Linked DNA regions of Oryctolagus cuniculus. The protein of the gene in region 1 purifies or fractionates together with the protein of each later gene. This does not show direct contact. Links are inferred from orthologs where the notes say so. Each region holds a gene or a part of one and is shown in the gene's direction. Other genes may lie near its edges. The genes, in order: DLD, OGDH, PDHB, DLST, PDHA1 and DLAT.

What was found.
Region 2: the proteins of DLD (region 1) and OGDH purify together in Homo sapiens (affinity purification with mass spectrometry; 3 studies listed by BioGRID and IntAct, counting the BioPlex papers as one, with this or other methods). This does not show direct contact. The link is inferred for Oryctolagus cuniculus from reciprocal best matches to the Homo sapiens genes DLD and OGDH.
Region 3: the proteins of DLD (region 1) and PDHB purify together in Homo sapiens (affinity purification with mass spectrometry; 3 studies listed by BioGRID and IntAct, counting the BioPlex papers as one, with this or other methods). This does not show direct contact. The link is inferred for Oryctolagus cuniculus from reciprocal best matches to the Homo sapiens genes DLD and PDHB.
Region 4: the proteins of DLD (region 1) and DLST purify together in Homo sapiens (affinity purification with mass spectrometry; 3 studies listed by BioGRID and IntAct, counting the BioPlex papers as one, with this or other methods). This does not show direct contact. The link is inferred for Oryctolagus cuniculus from reciprocal best matches to the Homo sapiens genes DLD and DLST.
Region 5: the proteins of DLD (region 1) and PDHA1 purify together in Homo sapiens (affinity purification with mass spectrometry; 4 studies listed by BioGRID and IntAct, counting the BioPlex papers as one, with this or other methods). This does not show direct contact. The link is inferred for Oryctolagus cuniculus from reciprocal best matches to the Homo sapiens genes DLD and PDHA1.
Region 6: the proteins of DLD (region 1) and DLAT purify together in Homo sapiens (affinity purification with mass spectrometry; 4 studies listed by BioGRID and IntAct, counting the BioPlex papers as one, with this or other methods). This does not show direct contact. The link is inferred for Oryctolagus cuniculus from reciprocal best matches to the Homo sapiens genes DLD and DLAT.

The regions. Positions count from the first base shown.
Region 1 is NC_091434.1:136,290,127-136,294,277, reverse strand, and holds the start of DLD (dihydrolipoyl dehydrogenase, mitochondrial), read left to right. Parts: upstream 1-1,351; 5' UTR 1,352-1,513; coding exon 1,514-1,552; intron 1,553-4,151. UniProt on the Homo sapiens protein: Lipoamide dehydrogenase is a component of the glycine cleavage system as well as an E3 component of three alpha-ketoacid dehydrogenase complexes (pyruvate-, alpha-ketoglutarate-, and branched-chain amino acid-dehydrogenase complex).
Region 2 is NC_091447.1:52,009,501-52,013,000, forward strand, and holds part of OGDH (2-oxoglutarate dehydrogenase complex component E1), read left to right. Parts: intron 1-319; coding exon 320-422; intron 423-582; coding exon 583-711; intron 712-929; coding exon 930-1,080; intron 1,081-1,279; coding exon 1,280-1,407; intron 1,408-1,507; coding exon 1,508-1,686; intron 1,687-1,845; coding exon 1,846-1,917; intron 1,918-2,354; coding exon 2,355-2,483; intron 2,484-3,139; coding exon 3,140-3,212; intron 3,213-3,500. UniProt on the Homo sapiens protein: 2-oxoglutarate dehydrogenase (E1o) component of the 2-oxoglutarate dehydrogenase complex (OGDHC). Participates in the first step, rate limiting for the overall conversion of 2-oxoglutarate to succinyl-CoA and CO(2) catalyzed by the whole OGDHC.
Region 3 is NC_091441.1:91,554,820-91,558,827, forward strand, and holds the start of PDHB (pyruvate dehydrogenase E1 component subunit beta, mitochondrial), read left to right. Parts: upstream 1-1,208; 5' UTR 1,209-1,408; coding exon 1,409-1,450; intron 1,451-1,537; coding exon 1,538-1,591; intron 1,592-3,425; coding exon 3,426-3,533; intron 3,534-3,618; coding exon 3,619-3,681; intron 3,682-3,782; coding exon 3,783-3,818; intron 3,819-3,933; coding exon 3,934-4,008. Other genes in the region: thioredoxin domain-containing protein 17, read left to right, coding at 589-960. UniProt on the Homo sapiens protein: The pyruvate dehydrogenase complex catalyzes the overall conversion of pyruvate to acetyl-CoA and CO(2), and thereby links the glycolytic pathway to the tricarboxylic cycle.
Region 4 is NC_091451.1:20,942,923-20,947,161, forward strand, and holds the start of DLST (dihydrolipoyllysine-residue succinyltransferase component of 2-oxoglutarate dehydrogenase complex, mitochondrial), read left to right. Parts: upstream 1-1,439; 5' UTR 1,440-1,499; coding exon 1,500-1,562; intron 1,563-2,100; coding exon 2,101-2,134; intron 2,135-3,046; exon of another isoform or gene 3,047-4,239. UniProt on the Homo sapiens protein: Dihydrolipoamide succinyltransferase (E2) component of the 2-oxoglutarate dehydrogenase complex. The 2-oxoglutarate dehydrogenase complex catalyzes the overall conversion of 2-oxoglutarate to succinyl-CoA and CO(2).
Region 5 is NC_091453.1:5,384,437-5,387,936, forward strand, and holds part of PDHA1 (pyruvate dehydrogenase E1 component subunit alpha, somatic form, mitochondrial), read left to right. Parts: intron 1-1,056; coding exon 1,057-1,116; intron 1,117-1,668; coding exon 1,669-1,842; intron 1,843-2,377; coding exon 2,378-2,504; intron 2,505-3,451; coding exon 3,452-3,500. UniProt on the Homo sapiens protein: The pyruvate dehydrogenase complex catalyzes the overall conversion of pyruvate to acetyl-CoA and CO(2), and thereby links the glycolytic pathway to the tricarboxylic cycle.
Region 6 is NC_091432.1:103,992,602-103,996,101, forward strand, and holds part of DLAT (dihydrolipoyllysine-residue acetyltransferase component of pyruvate dehydrogenase complex, mitochondrial), read left to right. Parts: intron 1-522; coding exon 523-590; intron 591-2,686; coding exon 2,687-2,779; intron 2,780-3,128; coding exon 3,129-3,236; intron 3,237-3,500.

The DNA.
Region 1 (4,151 bases):
CTCAGCTATGGCCTGGGAAAGCAGTAGAAGATGGCCCAAGTCCTTGGGCCCCTGTACCTGCGTGGGAGACCTGGAAGAGGCTCTTGGCTCCTGGCTTCGGATTGGCCCAGCTCCAGCCATCGCGGCCATTTGGGGAGTAAACCAGAGCATGGAATACCCCCCCACCCCGCCTCTCTAATAAATAAATAAATCTTTTTTTTTTCTTTTTAAAAAGGCAGTATGGGTTACAGCTAGAGTCTCTATAACAGACACTTAATATCATTAATTTCTTCTCACCTAAAACTGAGCACTAATAGGCAGGGAGTAATGTATCCCAGTGTTCACACCCACAAAGCCCAGCATGGTGCCAGGTGGTAAGCCTTCAAGGAATGTGGAATGCAGTTCTACTCACATTAAAGACAGTTATCACAAAGCAAGAATCAGGTCTTCGATCTCCATGCTCCATCTCCGACACGCCTTTTCAACCCTTTTGCATCTATTACCTCTTATGAAAATCTTAAATCTCAACCACCATCTCACCATCAATTGTTCTACCTGGGAGGTGTTTCCCAAAGGAGGACACAGAGGGTAGAGTTCTGTGCATGTCCGCAGTCTGTTTACTTAGGGGAGGACACTGTTTATGTCAGTTTGTGGCCCATGCCTTATAAGCAGTGGTTAAGACCAAAGGGATTAGGGGCCTGCGCTGCCTGCGCCTTAGCCAATAAAGCGGCTGCCTGCAGCGCCGGCATCCCATACTTGACTTGGGTCAAGTCCCAAGTCCCGGCTGCTCCACTTCCGATCCAGCTCTCTGCTATGGCCTGGGAAAGCAGCAGAAGATGGTCCAAGTCCTTGGGCCCCTGTACCCGCATGGGAGACCCGGGGGGAAGCTCCTGGCTCCTGGTTTCCAATCAGGTTAGCTCTGGCCGTGGCAGCCATTTGGGGGAGTGAACCAGCGGCTGGAGGATCTCTCTCTCTCTCTGCCTAATAAATAAATACATCACAAACTTAAAAAAAGACCAAAGAGTTTAACCTCAGAGCTTTAGAGACTTCTTCTTTAAGCGATACTGAGGGTTTTGCTTAAGCTCTCAGGAAAACGGAGATAGACAATACTTCATAGAGGAGCGTAAGGATGAAGTGAGATAATGCCTGTGGCAAGCGCCAAGGAATGCCTAGTACATCAAAGAGCTTGTCAAGCTTGCCAACCTTTCCTTTGCTAGTCTGCATAAAATGATAAGTTTACTTGCCTATATCTTTCATATTCCAAGTTTAAGGCTACAGTGCAACCCTGCACATTTCCACAGCATCCCAAAATGCTCCGTCCCACCCCACGCCGCCACAAAGCACTAGGTTCTTTACGACAGTTTACGACGCCGAGCCTGACCCGAACGCCTTGTCCTCGCGGGCCAATCGCGCTGCTCCCCGGGGATGACGTAAGCCGCGCTTGTGCATGCGCAGGGTGGGGAGACCTTGGAAAAGCCGTGGACGCGCTTAGCGGAGGTGAAAGCATTGGAGGAAAGGAAAGTACCGGGGGAAAATGCAGAGCTGGAGTCGTGTGTACTGCTCCTTGGCCAAGGTGAGGACCTCCGAGGTGGGGTCGTGCTGAGCCGGAGGCACGGAGAGGCCTGAGTCCGGGAGCCGGGACGCGGCCTAACTGGTGCGAGTTCGAGAGGCTGGCGGCCTGACCCGGACCTCTTGTGCACCGGCTCCCGCCCGGCCTCGGTCCGGACGTGGCGGTTCCTTCCCTGGCAGCGGGAGCTGAGCAGCCGCGGAGGGGCCCTGCCTCGGCTGGCTGGTGGCGGCCAGCATTTCCCATAGCTGGGCCGAGGGGCGTACCCATAGGCCTCCGCCCGAGGAGAAGGGGTTAGCAGGGACCTGGCGCGTCCTGCTCTCGCCCTTTTCGTAAAGCTGACTCCGGAGTGGCCTGGTTGTCTGCAGTGGGCAGGTAACCTTGAGAGCACTGCTTGAATGGCCCGGATCTCCTCCCCCTCCCCCTCCCCCCCGGGGCTAGCCCCCAGCCCTGTACCATGTTACTTTTTTGCTACACATATCTCTGATATCGTTTAGTGTAGGAAATAGGCACAGTAAAGGATTACCGACAGTCACTAATAAAATAGAGCCATGACTGCTTTCAGTAACATAGGACTTGCCTGTGGCGCTGGGACAGGCGATCATCAGGCCTACCAAGTGAGAACGAATGAGCAGGTAGCATATTGAGGACGAAAGGGTGATTCCTGTCCCAGCTGGTGGGGTGGAATGGCGAAACTTATAACTGATGAACAGAGTTGGTTCCCGAACAACACAGGGATCCGGGTGCCAGGCTCTTGTGCAGTTGAAAAATCTGCGAGGTTTGACCCTCTCTCTCCCCCACCTCCAAACGTTAATAGGGTGCAAGTAAGTGAGTAACGTACAGTTTTTATGTGTTGCATGTTATGTACAGTGAAAAATAAGGGTTGCGAGAGAGAACTTGTCACTGTGATGTGCAGTTTACTGGAGAGAGGAGCTACTGAGGGAGAGACAGCATCACCTGGTGTTTTAAGGAGCTGCAACACTTGAGCTCAGTTGTCCCAGAAAGTGGGATTGTCTGTGCATATTCTGAGCGTTCATCATATAGCTTTTCCTTAATTTTTTTTTTTTATTTGAAAGGCAGAGTTAGAACGTGTGAGAGCTTCCATCTGTTGGTTCATCCCCAAAATGGTTGCAATGGCTGGGGTTGAGTCAGGAGCCGGGAAGGGAACTCCATCTGGTCTCCTACTTGGGTGGTAGGGTCCCACGTTCCTGGACCATCTTCCACTGCTTTTCCAGCCACATTAGCAGGAAGCTGGATCTGAAGCAGAGCAGCTGGGACTTGAACAGGTGCTCCGATGTGGGGTGCTGGCATTGCTGGTAGGAGCTTAGTACACTGAGCTGCCATGCTGGCCCCCTAATTGTTTGTTTGTTTGTTTATAAATATTTCTAGGCTACTCAGTTCATTAAGTTTTTCAAATAGTTGCCAGTCTCCCCCAAAAAGAGAAATTCATGTATAAGTGGTCCTGCACTGTTCAAATACATGTTGTTCAAGAGTCAGCTGTAGTTTATTTCTGGAGTTTTCCATGTAATAAGTGTACTGTTTTTGAGTTTAACTGTAGGTGGCTGAACTCTTGGATGGAGAGAGGAAACTAATGTATCCAATGAAATCCCTTTGTTTCAAAGATGAGGCATCTGTAGTCCCCAAGATAACTAACAGAGCATGCCAGAAGTCAAGCTTTAAGGGAGAGGCAGAGTGGGGCCTACAACTCAGGACTGCCGGTTGCTACACTGACCTCAGGAGCAAGAGTTGTCCTGGAGCAGAGAACTTACCACCTCCCTGTAGGTTTTGTCACTGTCTCCTGTGTGCCTGTTGTGATGGCAGCAGGAGCTGTTTGTTTTTTTGTGTGTCACTACTTTTGGGAAATGGTAGCCATCCATATTTCAAAATTGTGGCGATTTTGATAGAATTTGTAAAGCTGTAATATTACTTATTACTTACTGCATTTTCGTAAGATACCTTCTCCAGTTTTCTGTTCCTAGTTGATTGATCAGGAGTATCTTCATGAATTTTCCTATATGGACTGAACTATACGTACATGGTAGACTAGGAAGGATTGTCATCAAGTATATTATCCAGGTACTTAAATTAGAACTTTCAGAGTTTTATTTATGGAACTGACAATCAGTAATATTTTCTGAAAATTTAATAAAACTTAATATTGTTGGAATATGTTTTTATTATGTTAAATATGCAGTTATATTAAATAAGATGAGTATTCATAATGAAAGGTAAGTATGACTGAAAAGTGTAAACTGTTACTGCCAGAGAGGAGAGGCATTGCTGTGTAAGCTCTGTGTGATGGTGGAAGATACGTTAATAGGGTTGCTTGTTTGACTTAGTAGTTAACATGCTGATTGGGTGCCCGTATCCCATGTCAGAGTGTCTGGATTTGAGTCCTGGCTTCACTCCCAATTCTAGCTTCCTGTTAACGTGTACTATGGAGGCAACAAGTGATGCCTCGGGTGGTTGGTTCCCTGCATGAGAAACCTTAGAGTTCTCAGTCACAGCTGTTGCAGGCGTTTGGGTGCTCTGTTTCTCAAATAGATAATTTTTTAAAATAATCAGACATTTTAAAAAGATGTTAATAATCAATATTTGACACATT
Region 2 (3,500 bases), on another chromosome or scaffold:
TACAGCCCCTCAGCCCCCAGGAGGCCACTGAGATGGGGTCTGCGGTGGGGGTGGCGGCCGCTGGCTCCCTCAGCGACACAGCAGTGCAAGGTCTGGCTCCACCCGGGGCCGGGTGTGGTCCCACAGAGGCTGTGCCTGCTCGCTTGCCAGCAGGCAGCCCAGGCAGACACCCCAGAGACGGACGTGTGGGCGCAGACAGAGCTCTGGAGCCCTGCACCCCAGGGCTGCGAGGAGCAGGCACACAGGAAGTAGGAGGTGCAGCGGGGTGTGTGCGGCAGGGCCGCTGTCCCCGTCCAGCGGTGTCATGCCCGACCCTCAGGAGGAGATCTCCAAGTACGACAAGATCTGCGAGGAAGCTTTCGCCAGGTCCAAGGACGAGAAGATCCTGCACATCAAGCACTGGCTCGACTCGCCCTGGCCTGGTGAGCAGAGGGCCCCGCGGAGACCCCTTAGTGCCCGCGAGGTGACCAGGAGGCCCCTCCCAGAGTCCAGCTCCTCCGGCGTGTGCCGCAGTCAGCAGCACCCCGCGCAGGTGTCGTCCCGACACGGTGCTACGGCGCCTCTGCCTGCCCTCCCTCGCAGGCTTCTTCACCCTGGACGGTCAGCCCCGGAGCATGTCCTGCCCCTCCACGGGCCTCACCGAGGACGTCCTCACGCACATTGGGAACGTGGCCAGCTCCGTGCCCGTGGAGAACTTCACCATCCACGGAGGTAAGTGCGTCGGGCTGGCCGGGGGGAACACTGGCCCTCTCTCGTCCTGCAGAGGCCCCGCGGCCCCTCCCACTGCTGCTGTCGGCAGAGCCCTGTGCTCACCGTGCCCTTCCACACCACTGGAAGCCCGGGGCTGCAGGGGCAGAAGGCCCTGGCCCCAGCAGAGTGGAGCAGCCACGCGGGCCAGGCCTGCAGCGCTGTGAGGGCTCTGTCTGCAGGGCTGAGCCGGATCCTGAAGACCCGCGGAGAGCTGGTGAAGAACCGCACCGTGGACTGGGCTCTGGCGGAGTACATGGCTTTCGGCTCGCTCCTGAAGGAGGGCATCCACATCCGGCTGAGCGGCCAGGACGTGGAGCGTGGCACCTTCAGGTAGCGTTGAGGCACACGGGATTCTGGGGAAACAGCCACGCGGCCCAGGCATTGCGGCTACTCTGCCCTCACCTCGTTTGCTGTGCCCCGCGTGCCGGGCGGTCGATCCCTCGAGCGTGCAGGGTCTCTGGATGTCCGTCCTGGCTGCGTGGGCTGTGGCAGCTGCACTCCAGGCTCACGGGTCCTCGTTCCGCCCCAGCCACCGCCACCATGTGCTCCATGACCAGAATGTGGACAAGAGAACCTGCATCCCCATGAACCACCTCTGGCCCAACCAGGCGCCCTACACCGTGTGCAACAGCTCGCTGTCCGAGTACGGCGTCCTGGGTGAGCCCCACCCACGCCCCCCCCCCCCCCCCCGGCCTGCAGCCCCGCCCCGCCCGCTGGCTGACGGCCAGGATGTGGCTCTCCCCCTCGTCCCTTACAGGCTTTGAGCTGGGCTTCGCCATGGCCAGCCCCAACGCCCTGGTGCTCTGGGAGGCCCAGTTTGGTGACTTCCACAACACGGCTCAGTGCATCATCGACCAGTTCATCTGCCCCGGGCAGGCCAAGTGGGTGCGGCAGAATGGCATCGTGCTGCTGCTGCCCCACGGCATGGAGGGCATGGTGAGCCCAGGTCGGGCACGGTCTTACACCACGTGCTGTGCCGGCGGGGGGTGGGGGGGGGATCGAGATTCATCGCCAGGAGGAAGAACCAGAAACAAGCGAGGTGGTCCAGGAGGGGAGCCGCGAGAGCTCCCAGGCCAACTCGGGGGTCTGTTCCAGGGGCCAGAGCACTCCTCTGCACGCCCAGAGCGGTTCCTGCAGATGTGCAACGATGACCCAGATGTCCTGCCGGTGAGTGAGCGGAGTCCGTCGGTCACCCTGAGCCGTCCTTCCCTGGCCTGGGGCTCAGGTCAGGCTGTGGCACAGCTTCGCCTGCTGGCCACACCCCGCTGCTGCTGAAACCACGGTGTGCCGTGTGGCCACCTCCACACAAGCTCCTGAACCAGGCCCGCGCAGATGTTGGAGGGAGAGAACTTCGGGGCATTCTACTGAGATTCCAAGACCTGAAAAGAACGGGTGGTCCGTTTCTAAGGAGGATTGGGGTTGGCTTTAGGGAGAACCGGTGTCTCCTAAAATAGCATGTTTTGTGCTGGGTGGAAGTTCACAGCAGTGGGAGGGATCCAGGGGGAAGCAGAGGGCAGGGCCCTGGGAGTGGCGCCCCTCGCTCCTAGACGCCCGCGTGAGGGGCTCAGCGCTCCTGCCCAGCCCCTGGCCGCTGCTCCCCACAGGACCTGCAGCAAGCCAACTTCGACATCAGCCAGCTGTACGACTGCAACTGGGTCGTCGTCAACTGCTCCACGCCCGGCAACTTCTTCCACGTTCTGCGGCGCCAGATCCTGCTGCCCTTTCGCAAGCCGGTCAGTGCGGGCCTGGCCTGGCCTGAGGATGACCTGTGACCCAGGGCGCTGACCCTGCAACGCCGGCACGGGGCCAGGCTTTTCCCAGGGCCTCTAGCTTGGGGCTGGCCAGTTGTTGCCTGGAAGGGGTGCATGGACAGGATGGAGTCAGAGCTGGGTCCCTCTTGGCGTTGCTCCCAGGGAAGGGCAGGCTGTGAGGTCCAGCCCAGCAGGGCGAGGGTGGTCATGGGAGCAGCTGGGGTTGGGGGGGTGCTGAGTACTGGAAGACAGAAACCCGCAGGGGCCCAGGGCTTGCAAGGAGCTGCGTGTTGGAGAGTAGGTAGGCGCCGGGTCGGGGTACGAGCAGAAGGAGGGGAGTGTATTCCCAGCAGCCAGCCCGTGAGCCGGCGGGGCAGGGCGGTCCTGGGGTTGGACCTTGTCACGCCCTCTGGCAGGCCGACGGTGTGTTTGCTGTGACTGCCAGAGGCTCGGGCTCTTCCTGGGTGCGGGGTGGGGCCAGGGCCTCAGCAGCTGGGAGCTGGGTGTCTGCCCCCGCTGAGGGAGGCTCCGCCCAGCACTGGGCGTTGTCTGCTGGGACCCAGGGTCCAGCTTGGGTGGCCTTGGCTTCCGACCAGCTTCTGGGACTTGGAGAGCATCGTGGGCCTGTTGTCTTCCAGCTGATCATCTTCACGCCCAAGTCCCTGCTGCGCCACCCTGAGGCCAGGACCAGCTTTGACGAGATGCTTCCAGGTGGGTGGGTGGGGTTGGGGGTTCCCTGCTGCTGCTCTGTGGGGCTCGCAGGACTTCACGTTTGACTTTTCCTGGCCGTGGGCAGAGGCTGCTGGCTCTCGCCTGTGAGTGCCCCCAGGACTGCGTAGAGGCTCTTGAGAGCCAGCGGCTCCTGTGACTCCTCCCCCGCACCCCGGCTCCTGCAAGGAGCGCTGGCTGTGCCGGTGCGGAGTGAGGCCCGGGCCTGAGGCCTCCGGGTGGCTGTGGGGAACAGGTGCTGGCAGCCGTGGCCACTTGAACGTGCCCAGG
Region 3 (4,008 bases), on another chromosome or scaffold:
TCGAAGGTGTGACGGCATCGGGGGCATGATGGAAAGGGAGGCTGAGCTGCACGGTGGGGAGTGGGTGTGCTAGGTTTTCAGCCACGCTGAATCCGCACCTGACCCCTCGCCTCTCCCACACCACAGCGCATGGATGAGGACTGTGTAGCCACTGGTCCCATCAGACCCCAAGGGCCAAACTGAGACTAGGGAACATCTGGAGGCTGCCCCCATGGTCATGGTCAGGTGCTGGGCACCTCCCCCAAGGCCCTCTCTAAACCCAGGTTATCCGAACCTCCTCCCAGGCAGGACACCAACTTCTGCAGGCGGAAGCAATGGGGAAAGTGGAGTCTCCAGTTCCTAAATCGAAACCCCGGCTTTTTGGCCCATCTCTGCTGCAGTTCACCCATCTGTGAAAACTGGGGTTAACACCTGAGCAGGTTCCTGTGGGAAATGAGCTTTAATGGAGCACTTAGCACAATGTTTGGCATACAGTAGGTGCTTACTAAGTCAGTGAAAGCTATTGTTTTCATTCTCAGGAACCGACACCCGAGAGCCCCCCAAGGATTCCAGGACCTGCAGCCTGGGGGCCTCCCTCTTAAGGTCCCAATGGCTGCCTACCAGGAGGTGTGCGTGTGTGGCTTCGAGGAGTTCAACCAGGCTGTGGAGCAGCACGAGGGCAAGCGCATTTTCGCCTTGTTTGTGGGTTCTAAGGACACGGAAGGGAACAGCTGGTGTCCCCTCTGCACGAAGGCTGAGCCTGTCATTCGTGAGGGCCTGAAGAGTGCCAGCCAAGAATGTGTGTTCATCTACTGCCAAGTAGGAGACAAGCCTTACTGGAGAGATCCAAATAACGACTTCAGGAAAAAACTGAACGTGACTTCGGTGCCCACGCTCCTGAAATACGGAACACCTAAAAAACTGGTGGACGCGGAGTGTCGCCAGGCCAACCTCGTGGAGATGCTCTTCTGTGAAGATTAGCATTCCATGATGGCGAGTGTGTCTTGATTTCCTCTGGTATCAAACTCGACTTGTTCTGAATTCATGTTAGCAAGAAATAAATGATATTTAAAAATCAGTGTACGCTATGAAAATACTCATGAACCTGCAAAAAAAAACTACAACTCCCTCCAGCCCCAAAAGATCACACTCCTGAGTCACTCTCAGCCCCGGCGCTGCAAGCAGCCAGGGGCATGCGACCCGCGTGCACTCGGTGAGCCGGCGGCTGCGCGCTCTCCATCATGCCGGCCCCAGGTGGAGGGGCCCCGCCGCTCCACGCGCCACCTCCGTGCGACCCTCACGGAGAGCGGAGGGCGGGGCACGCAGCCACCGCGCCCTGCCATTGGCCGCGCAGGCGGGGAGGCGGGACCTATCGCACGGCCGGCTCCGCTGTGTTGTCATTAGGCGGCGGCTAGAGGACACGGTCAAGATGGCGGCGGTCTCTGGGCTGGTGCGGAGACCCCTTCAGCAGGTAGGCAGCGGCGCGGGGCCGCCGGGAGCCCGCGCGGCCCCTGCCCGCCCCGCCACCCCTCTGACCGTCCTTCTCTTTCTCCGCCAGGTATCCGGGCTGCTGAAGAGGCGCTTTCACCGGACCGCGCCGGCGGCGCTGCAGGTAACTGGAGCGGACCGGGGCCGGGCGGCTCTTCGGGCCCTGCGGTCTGCGGACGCGCACATCCCGCGTGGGACTGGAGCCGCCTGTGTCGCCGCCGGGCGCCCGTGACGCCGGCGTGTCACTCCCGCCAGGCTGCCTGGGACCATGTGGGCACTGGGAGAAAAGAAGTTGACGCTTCTTCCTCTCTGATCCATCGCCCCTTAAGAAATTGTGCTGAATTGCACATAGCTTAATTTTGTTGAAAGTGTATAAATTAGGGACGTTAAGTGCACCCACCGCGTCGGGCAGCCCTCTCCGCTTCCCATTCCCAGTACTTTCTCATCCCGGACAGAAACTCTGTGTCCATTACATAACTCCTGGTTCCCTGTCACCTCAGTATTTTCTGTTTCTGAGTTTGCCTGTTCTAGAACTTCATATAAGTGGAATCACTTGGCCTTTCGTGTCTGGCTTATTTCACTTAGCTTATTGCCTTCGCGGTTCGTCTAGGCCCGAGCTGTGTCAGAATCGGATTCCTTTGTGAGGCTGCAGGATCTGGTCCAGAGTGTGGACATACACACACTTCACCCACTCATCCCACCACGAGGGCTGGGCTGTTTGCGCGTTTTGGCTGATGTGAATGTTGCTGCGTACAGCGTGTGCGTTGCCTTGAGTTCTTTTGGGATAAACCCCGGAGTGGAATCGCCCCTCTGCACCCACACACTCTCACTGTTTTCCTTACTAGAGGATTCTGCCATGGTGTGTGTTAAAATAATTCCTACAGCCAGATGCAGGCTGGCAGTGCCTGCTACCTACGAGTGCTCAGTTCTTAGCGTTGGATCCCCGCGTGGCTCAGAGGATTAAGCTGCCACCCGCGACGCCAGCATCACTGTTGCAGTGCTAGTTTTGAGTCCTGGCTGCTCTGCTTCCTGCCGGTATACCTGGAAAGGCAGCATAGGATGGCCCCAAGTACTTGGGCCTGAGCCACTCTTGTGGGAGAGCGAGATGAAGTTCCTGGCTCCTCACTTCAGCCTGGCCCAAACGTAGCTATTGTGGACAGTTGGGGAGTGACCCAGCGGATGGTTCCTTGTTTCCCTCTCTGTTGCTCTGCCTTTTAAATAAATAAATCTTTTTTTTTTAATCTTTTTATTTATTTATTTTTTATATTTTGACAGGCAGAGTGGACAGTGAGAGAGAGAAACAGAGAGAAAGGTCTTCCTTTTGCCGTTGGTTCACCCTCCAATGGCCGATGCGGCCAGCGCACCATGCTGATCCGATGGCAGGAGCCAGGTGCTTATCCTGGTCTCCCATGGGGTGCAGGGCCCAAGCACTTGAGCCATCCTCCACTGCACTCCCTGGCCACAGCAGAGAGCTGGCCTGGAAGAGGGGCAACCGGGACAGACTCCCGCGCCCCGACCGGGACTAGAACCCGGTGTGCCGGCGCCGCAAGGCGGAGGATTAGCCTAGTGAGCCGCGGCGCCGGCCCTAAATAAATAAATCTTAAAAAATATTTAGCATGAATTAGGTTTCCTTGATAGTACTCCAGGGGTCTTAACAAAACAACCCAGCCTGCATTTCCCCCAGGAAAGCCGCCCGTGAGCTGACCTGGCCAGTAGGTAGTTTTCTTAATCTTGGGTGCTCATCAAGGAAAGCCTGTCACATCAGCAAACTTCTCAAAGACTAGTATATATAACACAAACGCTGCTTCTAGAATTCTTTGAACTTTAAAAGAGAAGCCTGTTCCAATGTGTTTTTATGTCCCAGGCTTAGGGCAGCCTAGGTGAGTATACAGGAAGAGACTCAGTGGTGTCCTAAATAATCCTGTAGCTTACTGACTACTTTCCTGTATTTGCGACAGGTGACAGTTCGTGATGCTATCAACCAAGGTATGGATGAGGAGCTGGAAAGAGATGAGAAGGTATTTCTCCTTGGGGAAGAAGTTGCCCAGTATGACGGGGCATACAAGGTAACCAAAATATATGAAAGACGCACGCTGAGGTCACCATTTGCCCCGAGATCTACTTGAAAGTTAATGCGGTCATCTCTTGTAGGTTAGTCGAGGCCTGTGGAAGAAATACGGAGACAAGAGGATCATAGACACTCCCATCTCCGAGGTGAGCCTTCTACCAGGAAGCCGGCCTTGCAGGGCTTGTCCGTTAGTGCTCGCTCGCCTCAGTCTTACTGATGTTCACTTCCTTTGTGTTTTCCTTTATAGATGGGCTTTGCTGGAATTGCTGTGGGTGCAGCTATGGTACGTAATAGTCTCTGTGAGGCTCACCCAAAGAGATTTAACATGACGTTTTAAAAATACTGCCTCCCACTCTGCTGTTCCTTGTCTTTTAACATGCATGTTTTTGATCTCACAGGCTGGGTTGCGGCCCATTTGTGAATTTATGACCTTCAATTTCTCTATGCAAGCCATTGACCAGGTTATAAACTCA
Region 4 (4,239 bases), on another chromosome or scaffold:
AATAATCCAGGTGAGGGAGACCGAGGATTGGTCACAGCGGCAGCGGGGCACGGATTTTTCCCTGCAGGGTGGACAGTGAGAGAGAGAGACAAGACAGAGAGAAAGGTCTTCCTTTGCTGTTGGTTCACCCTCCAATGGCCGCCGCGGCAGGCGCGCTGCGGCCGGCGCACCGCGCTGATCCGATGGCAGGAGCCAGGTGCTTTTCCTGGTCTCCCATGGGGTGCAGGGCCCAAGCACTTGGGCCATCCTCCACTGCACTCCCGGGCCACAGCAGAGAGCTGGCCTGGAAGAGGGGCAACCGGGACAGAATCCGGCGCCCCGACCGGGACTAGAACCTGGTGTGCCGGTGCCGCAAGGTGGAGGATTAGCCTAGTGAGCCTCGGCGCCGGCTTTCCCTGTGTCTTAAAATCTGAGCTTGAATCATCGCCCGCTGCCTCCCGGGGGGGTCCTTGAGAGAGGAAGCAGAATTTGAACCAGGCACTCTGACACGAGACGTGGGCATGCAAGGCAGGACGTGAGCACCGCGGCCGATGCCTGCCCTTTCTTCTCCCGATTTCTGGTTGCATTCTCCGCCCCCCACCCCCAGTGGTACTTTCAGCACCTGGAGAGTCCTGACCAGGTAAGCTGCTTCAGGTGAAGACACCAGAAGGCACAGGCACAGACCACTCGGTCACACTTCATCAATTACCAGTTCAGCCGCAGGTTTATAAACCGCCGTCTCTATCAGGCAGGTGATGATCCATAACATTCAGGGGCCTGGGGACCTAAGGGGCGGCCACGTGGTTTCACTTAGGGAGCAGCAGAGCAGTGTGCTGACGGCAGGGAGGCCCGGATTCCGCCCACAAACTCTGCGCACCTGAGCTGTGCTGGGGTGCAGCAGCGAACAAGACCGAGTTTAAACTCCAGGTGATAGGAGTTCACGTTCTCAGGGCGGGGCCAATTTCCAAAAATGTGCGGCATGTACAGGAAACAGTTTGGAAGGAGAGCTTGAGGGTGTGTGTGTGTGTGTGAGGGAGAGAGAGGGAGAAGCCTGATGCTCTGAGAGGCAGTGACACCTGCCCAAGGCCACACAGGTGTAAGATCAGGCAGCCACGTATGCCAGGATCCGAGTTCAAAGCCCGTGCCTGCTTTTTGCTCTCTCTTCGTGGGGCAGGGGGCAGAATGGCTAGGTACCCCGGGGTCTCAGACAGAAGAGGGCCAAATTCCGAGCCAGCTCCGGGGAATGGCCAGGGAACGCTCGACCCCGGGGGCCCTGCGGTCGCCGACAGTCGTAGGCACCCTCGAGAGGGCTGTCTCGGGCAGGCAAGCAGGCAGCTCAGTGGCCACCACAGCCTGCTCTGGAACGCCGGACCCCGCGCCGCCCAGCCGCCCCCACCACCCTCGCCAATGGTTCGCTCCGAACACCCCTCGCAGCGTGGCGGGTGCTGCGGCCCGCCCCACTTCCGGTTGTTGCCGGGCCCTATATCCGGTGTCCGCCCGCCCTCAGCGCTGCTGTCGCGATGCTGTCCCGGTCCCGCTGCGTGTCCCGGGCGTTCAGCCGCTCGCTCTCCGCCCTCCAGAAGGTATGGTCCGGCCGGGCCGGAGCCTCGGCGGGTGAGCAACCTGCTGATGGACAGACGGGCGGCCGGGAAGGCGGGGGCGCAGCGCGCCTGCCAGGCCCGGCACCAAGGGCACTGGGACGCAGAGGCCGCGGGCTGGCCGGCCCGGGACCGCCTCGCCCTCGGGGCTGTGTTTCGAGGCCTGCGGGGCAGGCCTTCCCGAGGCACCCGCACCGACCGTCACCTGCTGCCCCCCGCCCCGCGCGCCGGGGCTGGGGAGCCGCTCCCGTCCCGACATCGGACGGCCTCTGCTGGACACTCGGGGGCCCGTCCCGTCCCTTCTGTTGAAGCCCGGGGGTGTCAGTCAGTCCCGTGGGGAAGTTGGGACGGTCGGGCGGACGCGGTGTGCCGGCGGGGTCCGCGCCCGTCGCGGCTGTCCGTGGAGTTGGGAGATTGCCCGTCCCCAGCGCCGGGGCAGCTTTGCGTGCGCGCTTCGCAGGAGGAGCGGTTTCTCCCCTCGTTTCACCTCGGGTGACGTCGATGATGTCTTCTTTCTCAACAGGGGAACTGCCCTCTAGGGAGACGCTCCCTGCCTGGTAAGTTCTGCGCCGGCCGTCGCCTGACCCGCTCTCCTCCCGGGGCAGAGCGGCGTGTACGGCCACAGGCAGCCCAGTTGCCGCCTGTACCCGCAGCGTCACGGAGTGTTTGCTGTGCGCCAGGCCCCTGCCAGCCCCTCGCCCAGGACCCAGCAGCCCGCAGGCCAGTGGGAAAGGCCAGATGTGCACGCACTACCCATCAGATGAGCAGGCGCGAATTTTGGTTCGCGGGGTTGGGGTGGGGAGGACAGGGGCGCCTGCTCCGAGTAGGTGACATCGAGTCTGCATCCTGGAGGATGTAGCCGGGGAGAGCAGGAGGCAGAGAGGGAGTAGCTTGTCCAGTCCCCGGGTAAGGAAGGAGGCTGGCAGTGCTTGGGAGCTGGAGGAGAAGGGGGTTCGGCCAGGCATTTTGGTTAAGGGGGAGAGTGCCGTGAGATAGCAGACGGAGTCTGCATTGTTGGAAGGAGTTTAGTTTTTTATCCCTTTTTTTCTTATTTTTTGGGGGAGATTATTAGTAGTTTATCTTATATAACTTATCTTTAAAATTAGGTGCCTTGTATATTTGTTGGATGAGTTAGTTTTATTGTAGGCTTTCATTGTACCAGATATTCTCACTGCGATCTGTGCGTATTTTAGTTCATCATCACAAACCTGAATGAGAAGTATTATCTCTATAAATGCATAACCCAAGGCAAGAAAGGGTAAGTGCTTTGGCCAAGGTCACTCAGCCAACTACTGGTCAAGCCAGGCCTACCTGACTCCCCAGCTTGAACTCTTACTTTTTTTTTTTTTTAAAGATTTATTTATTTGGAAGGCAGAGTTAGAGAGGGAGAGATAGAAAGAGATCTTCCATCTGCTGGTTCACTCTCCAATAGCCACAGCTGCGCCAGGCCAGAGCCAGGAACTTCACCTGGGTCTCCCACGTGGGTGCAGGGACCCAAGCACCTGGGCCATCTTCCACTGCTTTCCCAGGTGCATTAGCAGGGAGGTGGATCTGAAGTGGAACACCTGGGACTTGAACTCGTGCCCTTATGGGATGCCAGTGCTGCAGGCAGCTGCTTAACACTGACTCCTCAGCCTAAACTTTTTTTTTTTTTTTTTTAAGATTTTATTTATTAGAGAGCTAGAGTTATAGACAGAGGGAGAGACAGAGAGAAAGGGTGTCCATCCACTGGTTCACTCTCCAAGTGGCCGTGATGACCAGAGCTGGGCTGATCTGAAGCCAGGAGTCTGGAGCTTCTTCCAGGTCTCCCACGTGGGTGCAGCACCCAAGCACTTGGGCTGTCCTCTGCTGCTTTCCCAGGCACATTAGCAGGGAACTGGATTGGAAGTGGAGCAGCTGGGCTCAAACTGGCACTCATATGGGCGCCTGCTGGCACTGCAGGCCATGACTTAACCCACTGTACTACAGTACTGACTCCTAGCCTGAACTCTTAATCCATTATGTTCTCATTTACTCATGTACTCAATAAATGGTTTGAGTGCTACTACAGTGCCAGCCCCTGTGCCTGGTGACAAGGAAACAGCAGATGGTCTCCACATTCGAAGATCTTAGGCTGGCTGGAGAGAGCGTGAGCAGATGTTTGTGCACACGTAAGGACATGATTGCATTGTGGGTACTCAGAAGTCCAGCTTGATGAGACAGGGGATGATGCAGTCCAGCTTGGGAGAGTAGGGAATGCTGATAAAGGCTTCCCTGAAGAAGTGACATTGAAGCTGAGACTTGAATACGTAGAAATTAGCCAGGTAAATGATATTTCAGGCAAAGGGAATTGCTCTGTCGAGGTTTTTAGGCAGGCTGGGAATTGCCCTATTAGGGGAATGGAAAGAAGCCTACCTGGCTGCAAAGTTAGGTAGGACTGGATGGTACAGGACTGTGCAAAGTGTTTGGACTTTATCCTGAGTCCTGAGAATGTGAGACACCAGCACTGTGTCAGTTCCTAGCAGGCGCTCAGTGATGAACTTTCTCTACTAGGAATCCCGAGAAATGTCAGTAAACATTCTCCTCTTTATAGACTGGCAGGACAAGGGGGGGACCCTTGCACGTGGGGTTGCATCTTGGCTGGGCATTCACCCGGGGTAGTCAGTCAATCCCCGGAAGCCCT
Region 5 (3,500 bases), on another chromosome or scaffold:
AGGGATTAAATCATAGTTTAAGTTGAAGTATGATAGAGTAAACTCTTAGCTTGTTCAAATGAACAGTATCCAGTTATGATTTAAGAATAGCATAAATCAGCCGGCGCCGCGGCTCAATAGGCTAATCCTCCGCCTAGCGGCACTGGCACCCCGGGTTCTAGTCCCAGGCGGGTTCTAGTCCCAGTCGGGGCGCCGGATTCTGTCCCGGTTGCCCCTCTTCCAGGCCAGCTCTCTGCTGTGGCCAGGGAGTGCAGTGGAGGATGGCCCAGGTGCTTGGGCCCTGCACCCCCAGGATAAGTACCTGGCTCCTGCCATTGGATCAGCACGGTGCGCCGGCCACAGCACGCTGGCCGTGGCGGCCATTGGAGGGTGAATCAACGGCAAAGGAAGACCTTTCTCTCTCACTGTCCACTCTGCCTGTCCCCCCCCCAAAAAAAAAGCATACATCTCAGATTATCTAGGCTCTTCAGTATAGCCATTAATTTCATTATGTTCTCATAATTTCTTTTTAAAACACACATATTTATTTGAATCTTCCATTTGCTGGTTCACTCCCCCAGATGCCCATAACAGCCGGGACTGGACCAGGAACTCCATCCAGTGGTTGGCAGGGGCCAAGTACTTGGGCCATCTTCTGCTTTCCCAGGCACATTACGGGGAAGCTGGATTGGAAACAGAGTAGCTGGGACTCACACCACATTCCTATGTGGGATGCCAGTGTTGCAAGCAGACACTTAATCTCATGTGCCACAACACCAGCCTGTCTCATGAATTCTTGGAAAACAAAGTGGTAAAGTGAACAGGTTTGGTTTTTGCCACCTTTCTTTCTGCCTTCAGATAGCGGTGGGATTGTGCTTTATTGGCCAGAGTGTGGCTTCATTTTGGAAGGTGAGGAAGATGACCAACATCGTGAACAGAATGGAAGAGAGAGAAGCCCATGAATATGCTGGGGTTTATTAAAGTTCCATGAGTACATCATCACTGAGTAGTAATTCTGACTATCCAAGATGGCTGACAAAACATAATGATGTGTTTGTGTGTTTTCTTTCTTTCAAGGCAAGCAGAGTGCTGGTGGCATCCCGTAATTTTGCAAATGATGCTACCTTCGAAATTAAGGTGAGAGGTGCTTTTACGTTGTGTTCAGAATTTTTCAAAAGGTACACACTGATGTCCAGTTTTTATAACTTTTATATTTAGAATAGACCTTTTGATACTCTTCATTTTCTACCAGATGTTTCATAAGTTAGAGTTGTTTACCAAAAGTTAAGAGTTTGTTATTCTTGGCATGTTGCTGATATGGGTGAGGCCGGGGGGGGGGGGGTTAAAAGGAAGAAAAACTTACTCCAAAGTTTAGAGTGAAACACTTGAACATGAACATTCCTAAATGTTCCTTTGAAAGCTTCACCCCATAGCTCAGTTGACTTCTAGGGGTTTTCAGTGAAAGTCTACTAAGAACAACTTCCCTCCCCCTGAAGCCCTATCCATCCCCTTGCACAGAGAGGCGTACAGAGCGAAGGAATCAGGAGCAGTAAGGAAGCATTTCTGATGCGCTCCTTGGCGGTCTCCCGCGTTTGATAGCACTAGCGATGGAGTGAGGTCTCAGAATGAGTCAGCAGCGTTAGCTACGTGGTAACCCGAGGATGACTGCCTGCCTTAACTCTGTTTCAGAAATGTGACCTTCACCGGCTGGAAGAGGGCCCTCCTGTCACGACAGTGCTCACCAGGGAGGATGGGCTCAAGTATTACAGGATGATGCAGACTGTGCGCCGAATGGAGTTAAAGGCAGATCAGCTGTATAAGCAGAAGATTATTCGTGGTTTCTGTCACTTGTGTGATGGTCAGGTGAGTGTAGGTTTGTACTAAAACTGTCTCATTTAGGTAGGTAAGTATGATTCTCGTTTGTTGATGTTACCTTGTCGTATGTGTTAAGTACCTGAGGTTCATATTTTTAGAATAAAATTAGAATGCCAACACCTTTTATTCATTTATAACATTGCTAATTTCCTGTACCTGTTCTTAGAATTTTACTGTTTTAAAATTTTCGGACATTTCAATTCCTGTATTGTACTCACTTTTGAAAGGGTTATTTGGTTTTGTTTTGGTAGGTTTAGGCCAAGGGTTACAAAATCAGGTGCATGTCGACATCACTTCCAGGTTGTTGTTTTTTTTTTAAATCGCTGTGCAGGCTAAAGGAAATTGCACGTCTGGCTGCCAGTTTACAGCTGCTTGTTGAGCCTTCCATGCCACTGTGGTGTTGGATGAAAAATAGCCACTTTGTGGTATCAATGCCAAGTTCTAGCATACATGTTTCATATCAGTCTGGGAAACCTCTTTATCCAGAATCAGAGCCTCACGTTCTTTTCCTCCTTTAACGCAGGAAGCTTGCTGTGTGGGCCTGGAGGCCGGCATAAATCCCACGGACCACCTCATCACAGCCTATCGGGCTCACGGCTTTACCTTCACTCGGGGCCTTTCTGTCCGCGAGATTCTCGCAGAGCTCACAGGTTTGCTCTCGATTCACAGAAAGGGGACGGGAGCGGGTTCAGTGTTCAAACGTCTGCCCTTAAGATGCTAGCTGTTAGGAGCGAGTTTAGAAACACTCCTTTCTCAGGTGCTACTCTGGTACCTCTGTTGTGCCTTGGAGTGCACTGACCGTTCTGGGAAGTCCTTCAGCTTCTCGGGGAAAAGTTCCAGAGGTTAGTGCTGTGACGGCAGAACACGTGTAGTCACTCAAGCATGCCAGCAGATATCTAGCAACAATGGGCTTGAACCCAGCGTGATGTGCAGTGTAGTCTCGGCATCTTCCCAACACTCCCTCTTTGTCCCTCACAACTCTTGAATTGTTAAGTTTACCAGTGCAGAAGTCAGTAGATGCTTGTCACCCTGAAAAAAAGTCCAGGACACCAGACTAGCATGGAAAGGTGGTTAAGTGATTAGAGATCAGGAAAGATGGAGAGCTTCCTTCTAATGGATATGGAGAGGGGCCGGCGCTGTGGCGTAGCAGGTAAAGCCGCCACCGCCTGCAGTGCCGGCATCCCGTATGGGCGCTGGTTTGAGTCCCGGCTGCTCCACTTCCGATCCAGCTCTCTGCTGTGGCCCGGGAAAGCAATAGAACATGGCCCAAGTCCTTGGGCCCCTGCACCCATGTAGGAGACATGGAAGAAGCTCCTGGCTTTGGACTGGCGCAGCTCCAGCTGTTGCAGCCAGTTGGGAAGTGAACCAGCGGATGGAAGACCTCTCTCTCTCTACCTCTCCTTCTAACTCTTTCAAATAAACAAATCTTTAAAAAAAAGATTTTAAAAATAAAGGCTATGGAGACAAGGGGGAACACATTTGCCAAGAGAGACAGGTACCCAGATAGCTGAATTGGTGTCTGAGTTCTAACGATTGGGACTCGGAGTGAGAACTTGGGGTGTGGCTTGCTTCATGCAGGTGCGTACTGTGATTGCAGGGCGAAGAGGAGGTTGTGCGAAGGGGAAAGGAGGATCGATGCACATGTA
Region 6 (3,500 bases), on another chromosome or scaffold:
AGCAAAAGTTTGTAGGTAGGAGCCAGTGCTGTGGCATAGTAGGTTAAGCCTCTGCCTGCAGCGCTGGCATCCCATATGGGTACCAGTTCGTGTCCCAGCTGCTCCCTTTCTGATCCAGCTCTCTGCTAATGTGCATGGGAAAGCAGTGGAAGATGGCCCAAGTGCTTGGGCCCCTGCAGCCCTATGGGAGACCCAGAAGAAACTTCTGCCTCCTGGCTTTGTATTGGCCCAGCTCTGGCCATTGGTGGCCATTTGGGGAGTGAACCAGTAGATGGAAAACCTCTCTCCCTGTCTCTTCCTCTAACTGTAACTCTGTCCCTCAAATAACTAAATCTTAAAAAAAAAAAAAAAATTGGTAGGCATTCTCAGGGAAAGAACCTTAAGAGACAGGGTTTAAAGTTGTGATCCCTTCAGAGTGTTTTTGTAGCAAACCCTTAGGAGCTTGTACTTCAGGATTACAGGTTGATCTTGGGGAACCAGCAGTATGTCATCGTATATGTGGTATTTATGTATCTCTTCCAGGGACAGGACCAGATGGCAGAATCATCAAGAAAGACATTGACTCTTTTGTGCCTACTAAAGCTGCTCCTGTGAGTTACAGCTTACTCATGTATTTTTTGTTTGTTTATTTTATAGTTTGTCCCTTCAAAGTACTTTGTCCTGCTTCTTAGACATTATTTATGAATTAAGTAGCTTATCCAGAATCATGCTTTCTTCTACTTTCAGTGACTTCAGTATCTAGATATTTGTGTGCTAAAATGTTCATACAAAATTAAAGGTGATGTATTACACTGACATGAAATCCAAAATATATTTTGAGTAGAGATACTGAAAATTTTTTTCAGTTATTTATTTCAAAGGCAGAGTTACAAAGAGAGGGAGACATACACACACACACACACACAGAATCTTCGATCTGCTGGTTTACTCCCCAGTTGGCTACAATGCCTGGGGCTGGGCCAGACTGAAGCCAGGAAACTGGAACTCCATCTGGTTTCCCCTATGGGTGCAGGGGCCTAAGCACTTGGGCCACCCTCTGCTGCTTTCTCAGGTGCCTTAGCAGGAGCTGCATTGGAAGTAGAGCAGCTGGGACTCAAACCAACACCCATGTAGGATGCCAGTGTTGGAGGTAGTGTTTAACCCACTGCACCACAACACTGGCCCCAAGATACTGGAATTTTTCAGATACATTTTCTCCTCATTTGGTCCTTGTTTTCAAAACACATTTGCGAGTTGATTTATAAGGTTTGTGTGGTTAGTCCATTCAGAGATCAAATCCGTATATCCAACTCATTTTTGATTTGTAAGGTGTCAAGAGAATCAGTAGGAGTAAGGAAAATGATGTATTTCTTTAGGTGTTTGCTTTATAATGAAAGATTTGTCCTTGTTTTTTCTTAACATTTTTTGGGTAATGGATTAGCTGGTTTATGTGTTTCTTAATTCTTTCAGTTTTACAATGCCTTGACTCCTTTTCTTGAAGATAATTTTGTAATAACAAAGTTATTTTGACATAGATTAATTACTGAATATACTGAGTCAAAGAATGACACTTAAAACATGATTTTAGAATTCTCAGTAAAAAACATTTAAGCTCTATAGCAGTCTAAATACAAGTTTCTTTTGTTCTCTGTAGTTAGAAAATAGCTTTTATTCTATAAAACTTTTATTCTTTTTACTTTGCATCTATAAAAATCACTGACAAAGTCAAGTGTTTGGTATGGCAGTTAAGCTGCTAGGTTGGGACACCTGCATCCCATATCAGAGTGCCTGGCTTTGAGTTCTGGCTCTTTTCCTGATCCCAACTTCTTGCTCATGTGCACCCTGCGATGCAGACAGTGATGGCCCACAAGTAGTTGGATTCCTGCTACCCACATGGGAGATCTGATTTGGGTTCTTGGCTATCAGACCATTGCAGGTATTTGGGAAGTGAACCAGAAGATGGGATCCGTTTCCCTACCTCAAATAAGTTTTAAAAAAGGAAAAGAAAAAAGAGTCACTGTCAGGCTTTCCTAATCTTACATTAAGATTGAGCTAGTTTCTAAGAGCTTTTTAATTTTTTTTAAAGATTTATTTTATTTATTTGAAATACAGAGTTACAGAGAGAGAAAGAGAGGTAGAGACAGAGAGACAGAGAGAGGTCTTTCATCTGCTGTTTCACTCCCCAAATGGCCGCAATGACCTGGGCTGAGCCTATACGAAGCCAGGAGCCAGGAGCTTCTTCCAGGTCTCCTACATGGGTGCAGGGGCCCAAGGATGTGGGCCATCCTCTGCTGCTTTCCCAAGTGGATTAGCAGGGAGCTAGATCAGAAGTGGAGCAGCCAGGACCCGAACTGGCACCCCTATGGGTTGCTGGCATTGCAGACTGGGGCTTAAACCACTGTGCCACAGTCCTGGCCCTGAGCTTTTTCTTTTTAATTGACACATAGTGATTGTATGTATAATGGGGAACAACATAATATTTCAATGCATGTATACAATGTCTAATGATCAGATCGGGATAATTGTCATATCACTTCAGGCACTTATCATTTCTTTGTGTTGGGAACATTTAAAATCCTTTCCACTAGCTATTTTGAAATAGACAGCTATTTCAATCAAAATTATCCTATTGTGCTGTAGAACATTAAAAGTGAATCCTCCTATCCAACTGCATCTCTATAACTAAGTTTTTTCTTTCCCCACATAGGCTCCAGCAGCTGCTGTTCCTCCCCCTAGTCCAGGAGTGGCACCAGTTCCTACAGGTGTTTTCACAGATATACCAATAAGCAACATTCGGCGAGTAAGAGCATTACCATGATCTGGAACCAAAGCTACTGGGGAGATCTTTACTCTGCTGTCTAACTGCTTCCATAGTTTAAAATAATAAGAGAGGCTTTTTCAGTTGGGAATATCAGATGATTAATTTAAGAGAAGTTTGGCTTGGCTCAGTGAATGATTGGGATAAAGCATTGTGTTTTAAGTCTATTAGAAAAGAGGTATGTGATGGTGCAGTTCTCCATCTTCCAATTCTAGTAATGCTTAAGGTAAGCATTACTGGCGAGCAGAATGAAGAGGCAAACAGAGCCATGGATTAGGTAAGATCTTGTCTCAACCTAAATAAGTAATTTTTAAATTTTCTTTGGTTTCAGGTTATTGCACAGCGGTTAATGCAATCAAAGCAAACCATACCTCATTATTACCTTTCTATTGATGTAAATATGGGAGAAGTTTTGTTAGTACGGAAAGAACTTAATAAGGTAAAAGACCTGGAAAATTCCAATTCTCTAAATTATTAATTTTGTTTTTTCTCACTAAACATTTACATTTTAGCCATATATTATCCTGTTACAGAATGCCAGTTGGTAATGGAAAATAGGTGTCATCTTAATTGTAATTTGCAGAGAGTATCCTGGAGAATATCTAAGCTTTGATTGACCTTAATTTTTAAAAAATATTTATTTGTTTGTTTGAAAGAGTTCAAGAGACAGAGGTCTTCCATGCTTTGGTTCACTCCCCCAGAT